2 linked regions of the Arabidopsis thaliana genome follow. The protein of the gene in region 2 purifies or fractionates together with the protein of the main gene of each other region. This does not show direct contact. Each region holds a gene or a part of one and is shown on either strand. Other genes may lie near its edges.

Evidence for each region. The genes of interacting proteins can lie anywhere in the genome.
Region 1: the proteins of SAMBA (region 2) and FTM1 purify together in Arabidopsis thaliana (affinity purification with mass spectrometry, with the first as the bait; one large-scale study listed by BioGRID). This does not show direct contact.

The regions. Positions count from the first base shown.
Region 1 is NC_003070.9:16,575,602-16,580,222, reverse strand, and holds FTM1 (Plant stearoyl-acyl-carrier-protein desaturase family protein), read right to left. Parts: upstream 2,703-4,621; 5' UTR 2,562-2,702; coding exon 2,250-2,561; intron 2,068-2,249; coding exon 1,774-2,067; intron 1,244-1,773; coding exon 674-1,243; 3' UTR 501-673; downstream 1-500. Other genes in the region: TED6 (tracheary element differentiation-related 6), read right to left, coding at 3,921-4,271. UniProt on the Arabidopsis thaliana protein: Converts stearoyl-ACP to oleoyl-ACP by introduction of a cis double bond between carbons 9 and 10 of the acyl chain.
Region 2 is NC_003070.9:11,651,605-11,655,388, reverse strand, and holds SAMBA (valine-tRNA ligase), read right to left. Parts: upstream 1,890-3,784; 5' UTR 1,771-1,889; coding exon 1,620-1,770; intron 1,260-1,619; coding exon 1,149-1,259; intron 892-1,148; coding exon 851-891; 3' UTR 556-850; downstream 1-555. Other genes in the region: MKK10 (MAP kinase kinase 10), read right to left, coding at 1-233; GulLO1 (D-arabinono-1,4-lactone oxidase family protein), read right to left, coding at 2,024-2,790, 2,894-2,995, 3,129-3,784. UniProt on the Arabidopsis thaliana protein: Plays an important role in organ size control. Acts as negative regulator of the anaphase-promoting complex/cyclosome (APC/C). Regulates cell proliferation during early development by targeting CYCA2-3 for APC/C-mediated degradation.

The DNA of each region.
Region 1 (4,621 bases), 4.9 Mb from region 2:
ATAATTACCATCTAAACGATAAGAGAGAACAATTCCCAAATCTAAATTAACAATAAAATCCAAAATATTAGATGTTCATCTAGATTTCAGTTTGGTTTTGGTTATGGTTTCGGTTCGGGTTTCCGATTTTAATCAAACATATTATTGACTTGTTATAAAAATAGGTTTTCGATCGAGTTTTCTAAATCAATTATTTTCGTTTTGGTTTGGATCGGGTCAAATCGGATTGTCCGGATTGGTCAACAAAAACTTAGTTAATTTATCAGTTTAACCAGAGGTGGTGGGCTAGTGGTTCTAGTCTGGTGGAAGAGTTGTCTTGTTTGGTCTAGGCTAGGTATCAATTCTCCTCAGATGCACAATTGCTTAGCCATGTCCCTTTGGCACATGGGAATGGACCTATTGCTTAAGGCCTATTTGAAAACATGGGGAGACCTTACCCATAGGATACCCTCTCCTCTGGAATTAGTCCATAGGTTCAAGGATTTACTCTAAGTTAACAAAAAAAAAAATTATCCGTTTGAGCCATGTTTAAATTATACAAATTTTAAGTTAAAAACACGTTACATAGATAGAAACTTAACATTAAATTTTCCTAAGAACAAAGATTTGCATTACAAAAAAGAAAAAAAAAAACAAGAAACGGAGAAAGGAAAAGTTTGATATTTTCAAGAGTTTACACACTAATCTGCTTATCGAAGATCCAACTAAAGCAAACCTCATGGGTCTTCTTAAGCTTCTTAGCTCTCTCGTCTGCACGCTCTTGAAGGCGTCTAATCCTCTGAGCTAACCCACACACAAACTCCTGTGCACGTTGGCCCTCACCCGTCAATCCTTCTAGCTTCTCCAATCTCCACCGTCCAACCAAAAACTCCAAGATGTCAGCGTAATCATCCGCCGTGTAAACCTCTAGCCGCTGAGCCACGGCGGAGAAATGTTCGAATAGCATCGGGTCTCGACCGTCTGTCATTAGATGAGCCGGCATTGTGATCTTCTTCCGCATCATGTCGGCCACGGCTGAGACTGCACCGTTAGGGTCGATCTCGAGGAGCTTCTCAACGATGCGTACGTAAGCGTTTTCATGGCGCTTCTCGTCAGCTGCAATGGTTCCGCAGATGCGAGCGAGGACAGGATCTCCTGCGGACTTGGCTAGCCTTGCCGTGTTGCCGTGAGACACAAATGTGGCTCGCTCTTGGAATGACGTGTACACGAAACCTAAGTATGGATTGTTCTCAGTTCCTGGATCCTGAAGTTGCCAATATGAAAAGTTATGAATGGTATAAACCTAACCCGAACCAACCAAACCTAATCCGGACCAACCAAACGTAAACTACTAAAATACTTAGATTGAAATTGTTTGTGATCAATTCGTTCTATTATTTAAAAACATTTAAACCCAAAGCTTATGTTATTGTAAGCGAACTAAACAAACAAAAAAATCAGAATTTATTTTCTATATATCTTACATAATATATTATTAATTTTTATTATTATTAAAAGGTGGATTTTTTTTTCTTTTTAAATCGTCCAAAATGTATTCAAACCAAAAACCAAATTAAAATTTTATCATACCAGATCAAAACAAACAAAATGGCAAATAGTTTTGGTTATGTTTACGTTTCCACACATGCATAACAAAAAAAATAACTTAACCAAACCAAATAAAAAAAAATTAAAATGACACAAACAAATAAATAAATCAGAAAACTACTAAACTAATGAAACTAGTATAAGCATTTTTACATCATGACATAAAGGTATAGAAAGAGAACTGACCATGCCCGAGCCGATGAGATGCTGAACGGTGCGTTCAACCATAAGCATATCAACACGACCGGATAAGTACAAGTAAGTCCGCAACAAATCACCATGACGGTTCTCCTCAGCCGTCCACGCTCGTGTCCAACTTGCCCACGCGCTCTCACTCGCACCAGTCTCGTCCCTTACGCCATCAAGGGTGTTGATCATCGTCTGGTAAGTAGGCAACGCGTCCTCCGTTATCATATCTCCAACCAACACCACGAAGTATTCGTCTGGCAGCGAGGCCGTTCTTTCCCTCAGCTCACGAACCTATCATTATAAATACACATTTTAACATCTTTTCATTTATTGGTTAGTCTTGGTTTAATGTGCATATTATATAGTATAGGTATTCTGGTTTATACATTTCATGACAAAGTTATAAACTTTGTAATAACTTCTACTTCTTCATAAATAAGAGAATAACAAGATTCATGATGTATATAACGTACCTGGTCGGTAAACTCGGAGAAGGGTAAGGCCGGGTCGGGTAAGAAAGAAGCGGGTTGCCAACATTGGTCAACGGGTTTGAGAAGAGGCAAGATTTGATCCTTGGCCCATCCATCTAAAGATTTGAATATCTCCATTTTCTCCGGTGGCATGGTGTGGATTTTGTTTTGGTGTTTTAGAGCCGGCCTCACTGGTGCTGCCACGGCCGAGATCTTGGCCGGTCCACGGGGGCGAGAGGCGAGAAAAGTAGACGGAGATGGCATTAGTGTAGCCCATTGGGTGGTAAAGGAGAGAAGAGACTTGTGCGCAAGCATTTTTTATGGTGAAGTAGAGAAGACTTTAATTTACTTTGGAGTTCTTTGAATGTAACAACTACTATAGAGTGTGGACTAATAAATAGTCAAATGGTGATGAGGGTATAATAGTAATTTGGTGGTTGGCTGTTGTTCGTTAAACAAACCGTGGGGTGAAACAAGGGGTGCTAACTGGTTTGAGATTCTGTGGGTTTTGTTTAAAAAGTTAAATTTGTCCCATTTAAGACAAAACTTGAGAGTGATAAAAAAATTTCTTTTTACTTCCAATTATATGAACTTTGAATTTTAATGTATTATTTTTGTATTTTTCTACTTTTAATGAATTTTTTAAGCTCTTGAATTCTAAATTTGTGATCTTGCTGTTCAATTGTTATTGCTATAATTAAATTTAGTCGTTTTAATATCTATAATGGATTTTGTTTTTGTTTTAGTGACTTTGTACACGAGAATGCCAGTTGTACGTAACTACGTATTCAACGAGCCATTGGATCTTATGGTTGACAAAGAAAAGAAAGGACGAATTTTTATTTTATAGGATTTCTAATATTTAAATGTTGTATTAGTTTCAGAATGATAATTCCAATGTTTATTTTATGTATGAATGTGATGTTTGGTAAGAAAATATTAATTTTAATTGAATATAAAATTGAATTCAACCAGAACAGTATTAGACAATGAATGTATCAATTTTTGTTTAAGCTTAGAAATTACAATAGAAACTTTTTGAAGATTTAGCTCAAAAATAAACTTATATATGACATATTTATATATATATATATATATGTGTGTGTAATTTTCTTATCATGTATGGAGACTTGGTAAGTTAGCATTATCAAGACACAATTTTTTTCTCCATCTTCAGAATTAATGTATTTGTTTTGTTAATTAAATACGTATAATTGTTTTTTTTGTTTTGTTTTGGTAAATATTAAGTAGAACTATAATGAGAAGATTAACATGGTATATGTGTTAGTATACCAATACCAAGTTTTCAAATAGAAAAATGTCCAATTTTAAGTATGATTTCATTTGACATTGTATGTTTTTTTTAATTAATATTCTTATCGAGTTACAGTTACAAATTATCTGTTTTAACCAAAAACAACTATCTATTTTATTTCTCTACAGTTTTTTTTGAAAGATTACTTTTCTTAGAGAGATAGAGATAAAAGTTCGCTCCTAGAACATAAAAACCATCACCATTCACCAACCCAAGTTTGAAGAACCATCTTTGTCCAAAGAATTTAAATAAATATTTCAGATGCTTTTTTTTTATTTCACCAAACAAATGATTCACACACAACCACAATTTTAATATAAATAAATAGATAGGTAACATTATGAATGAAGAAAGCTCATTCACGAACGGGAAACGACTGATGATCCAACTCCACCATCTTTCTTCAGATCTTTCTCTTCTCTCTTGATCGCGTCTTCGATCTTAACATCATCCTCAACTGATAACACCACAGACTTTTGTCCATTAGGTCCTTCGACTATAGCTTCCTTCATCTTAAAGTGTTCATCCACGCGAACCGCTTCAGATCTCTCACGGTGCTTCCTGGATCTCTTCTTGATCAAGAACCAGATAACAAACGCTAGAAACGCCAAGAACATGACACAACCCAAAGAAACAAACACAACTACTACAACAGTAGTGTCATGGTCTGGAGTTGGTGTGGGACGGTAAACTGAATCCGTGGAGGCCATTACTTGTGTTTGATGTGTGAGGCTCTGATGATTTATTTCTTGAGGTGGAAATGGTTTGAGGAAGATGGAGAATCATGGGGCTTATTTGTAGTGAGTATTGAGAGTATAGGTTGCTGCTAAGTTTGTAATGACTTAACTCCCATCCTAAGGTTTTGTTTGCTTGTTGTTTTTGTTAAGCTAACCTAGAATGTTTAAAAAAAAAAAAAAAGAGTAAAAGCCAAGAAAAACAGGCACTCAGCTCAAAATATCTTATTTTGTTGGTGTAATCCAAAAATATGTAAGAATTGTAAGAGGTAAGATTCATAATTCTCACAATTCTTGTTTCATAAAAATACTCCATATACTAAAGA
Region 2 (3,784 bases):
ACTTTTAAGGCGTAAAGCGTTTTGGTTCTCCGGTGACGGGTTTTGTAGACTGTCCCACCGCTTCCTTGTCCTAAAACGGAGAGTTTCTCGAGATCGTTTAAGGTTTGAATCGGCGATGTTTCAGGGCTTGACGATGAAGAAGATGCCACGGAGAAGGCGGTGCCGTGGTAAATAAGTGGTGGAATAGAGAGTGTGAGAGGTTCTTGGTGACGTCGTTCTCTAACAAGTGTCATCTAGGTTATTTGCTTGCACTTGTGGTTTTCAAGTCCTAGGTTACATAAAAAGGACATGACACGTGGCAAATGGGATTACTTGTATGACACTTGTCAATCAGTGTTAACAAACTTAAGCAATTTGTGGTTTTTAGGTAGTGGTGATCAATTGATTCCTGATAAAAATAGGTAAACAAGTTTTGGGATTTAATAATGACCTTTTGGTACTTCTTTTTCCGTACATATAGTAGAATCTTTGTTTTGGGAAGATGATAATAACCTAATTTTTTTAAAGGAACTAATAAAAAGTACCAAGTTAGACAAAAAATCAAGAAAAATATCTGGATTTTAAATTAATTATTCAAACTTAAAAATTGTCTTTGATGAAAGTTGATTATCTATATTCTTGAGAATATTGAAATTTCATTTTCGAGTAATAGACTCATTAGCCGAATAATGATTTCCTCACTTGTATATTAACACCATAGAAATACTATTTTGTCCCTTACAATGGGAAAATATAAAGTTAACGTTTTAGTGACATTTGTGAAGAACACGAAACAAAGCGTATACGACCATTTCTGATATTTCTTACTTGAATGAATCCGATCATCTAGGAAGCTGAACAAAGCTTAATTTCACCATAGCTTCACTTCACCTCCTTTCTTTAGAAAATTACCTAATCAGAAACAAATATACTTCAGTAGAGTGTCTTAGTGATGACGAAACACCGAAAACACACACACAAACCCGCAGATTCGATCAAATGTTCTCACCATACCGACTTGCCTAATCTAGAGAATGGCAAATACATGAAATTTTGAACCATTGGGATCATTACTGCTGTTAAAACTTATTCAAGATTGATATAAACGTACACATGAAAACAGCTTTGTGACATACAGAAAAATAGGATTGAAGAAGAAGAAAACTAACCTCTTCTGGATATAAGATGGATTCGAGAACGAGGACCTTCGAACATCCAACTATCTTCTTCCAAAGACTTAACCTCTTTGTCAAGTTCAGTCATCAAATCAGCTTTCAAAACTACACCATCAAAACAAAAACCAAACCTATTACATAACATATCTCAAACAAACACTTGAAACTGAAGCAAGCTTTTTCTTAATCTACTCATGTCCTTAATCATTTATTAGTAATTAATTAGCAATACTAATTATCTAAAGAAGTTACTGTTAAATCAACAAATCAATCAACCAAATAAAAAAAACTCAGGGAAACAAAATTGGGATTTTCAGATAGTATCAAAAACCCTAAATTTGGAGATGTGATACTCAAATCTCTGATCACTGAGAAATTTGATTACCGAATCTTATAGAAAACCTCTAATTTGAAACCCTAAGATTCGAAATCATGAAACGAAAAGGGAAAAGAGTAAGAACTGACCACGCATAGCTTCGTCTTTTCGCTCTTGCATTGAGGGAATATCCGGTGGAAAATGGAAATCGTCTAGACCAGCGGCGGCGCCACTGCTTCCACCTCCACCAGCTACGGCGGTCGTCGAAACCAATGAATGAGCCGGAGAAGCGCCGTTCATCACTCAGCGCGAATTCAAAATCGAAATTGTTCAGAAGAAATTTGGGATCAACGACGATACATTGACGGAGGAGCCGTAACAAATCTTAAACCGAAATTATTTTATTCGAGGACTAACCATGTAAACCGAATTGAACCAAATAAACCGGCTAAAGCCCAACAACAAAGGCCCGTGTGACCGACCATAAAACTTGTTAAGCTTGTCATAATGAACAAAAGACGTTGTTCTGTAAAATGTTCTGTTTTCACTTTTCTCATATACGATTAAACATCAAATTAAATTTGGTATGATCGTCATAGCCATTTACTGATTTTACATGAGTACAAACTCTAGCCTTTGTATAAACTTTACCTGGTCGACACAAATAACCTTTCTTGGGAGCACAATGAGCATCATCCGAACAAACACAAAGTCCTTCCAAGGCACATCCTTCTTTCACAATCGTCACGTTTCCTTTTAAACCTAGAATTTGGTTGGTCCATTCCGTCGAAAACAACCCTAAAGGATCAAATCTCTCTTTTACTTTCAAAAACGTGTTTGCGTTCTTGTACTTTCTAATCACGCCATCAAACGCTAGGTTCCTATTCTTCCCCCAATGTGGCAATGCATTGTATTTAAATATCGCCATTTGTTCGATCTCTTCGATGAAATCCTCGTAGAGACGTGGTGCTAAGGGATCATCTTTGCTTCGGTAGTAAGTTAGGTCAAAATCTAAAGCTTTTTCTTCTTTCCCAAGAAAAGCAGGAGAGGATGTCACATAACGGATGAGGATACCATTGCTGCGTTCAAGGGCGCAGAGAGATTTCGGTTCAATCTTTACGAGTGCTTTGATGTCGTTGATGAAACCTTTGACACGTGTGAGAGGGATACTGAATGCTGTTTGGTGAAAGAATTGGCCTTTTATCCGTGGATCCCAAGGACAAGACGTGATCAGTCCGTCCTGATGGCTGTCTAGACATGTACCCGACGACATCATATGGTTTTGCTTTCCGATCACCGGATAGCCTGTGAATTCCATACCTGCCCGTGGAAATTACAAATGAATATGTGATAGAAAGTTGTAAAGTCTCATACATATGGAAACAATAGAAAGATGCATAAGTAAGTGAACGAATATTTTTACCATTGTTAGTCACACCGTAGGAGATGGAAAACAAAAACGACGTTATTTGCTCTGCTCTCGCACACTTGTCGTTTGCATCTCCGGATGACTCTTCACTCTCCTCTTCATATCATGAAGCAGTTGTTTATAAGAAACATTATAACTATGCAAATCAAATATTTTTTACCAAAAAAACTATGCAAATGATCAAATATATTTTGTATTAGTTATCTTGAGAAACAAAGAATAAATTTACCTAAGGATCTAATGATGGCTAACGCTACAGAGAGTTGTGGACGGAATGGGAAAAAGTCGAACAAGCCATTGCCTGAAGTGTTGACCGGAACTCGGTCGTCCATTCGATACACCACTTTGCCTTGGCTTGGTAACCATAAGAAATCTGCAAACTCATGTTTTTCCCCGAAAGTCACGGCTTGATCTCCGAAATCCGAATCGTTTTGCATAACAAAGGTTAACGATCTCTTGAACATTGGTTGCAACTGGAAAGTTACTTGAGAGATAACACCTAGAACGCCTAGAGAAACTTTGGCTGCACGAAATTCATCAGGATCTATTGTCTCGCTAAGAACCCGAACCTTAACATACCCATCAGAAGCCAAACCGGGACTCACCATTCTTATCTCACTCACATAATCATGAACCGCACTTCCTTTACCCCACAACGAACTTCCATGAGCACCTGTCCCCATCAATCCTCCAACCGTGAGTCCCCACCAATATGGTGCGTGTGGCAAAGCCAGCTCCAATTCAGCCGCTTCTCCGATAAGCTGCCTTAACGTCACACCGCTCTCAACTGTCAAAGTCTTGGCTTCGGGATTGGTTCCCACCACGTTGTTTAAAAACTTGGTGCTTATGAGAACACCGTCCTTTCCATCAGTACAAACGAGCTTT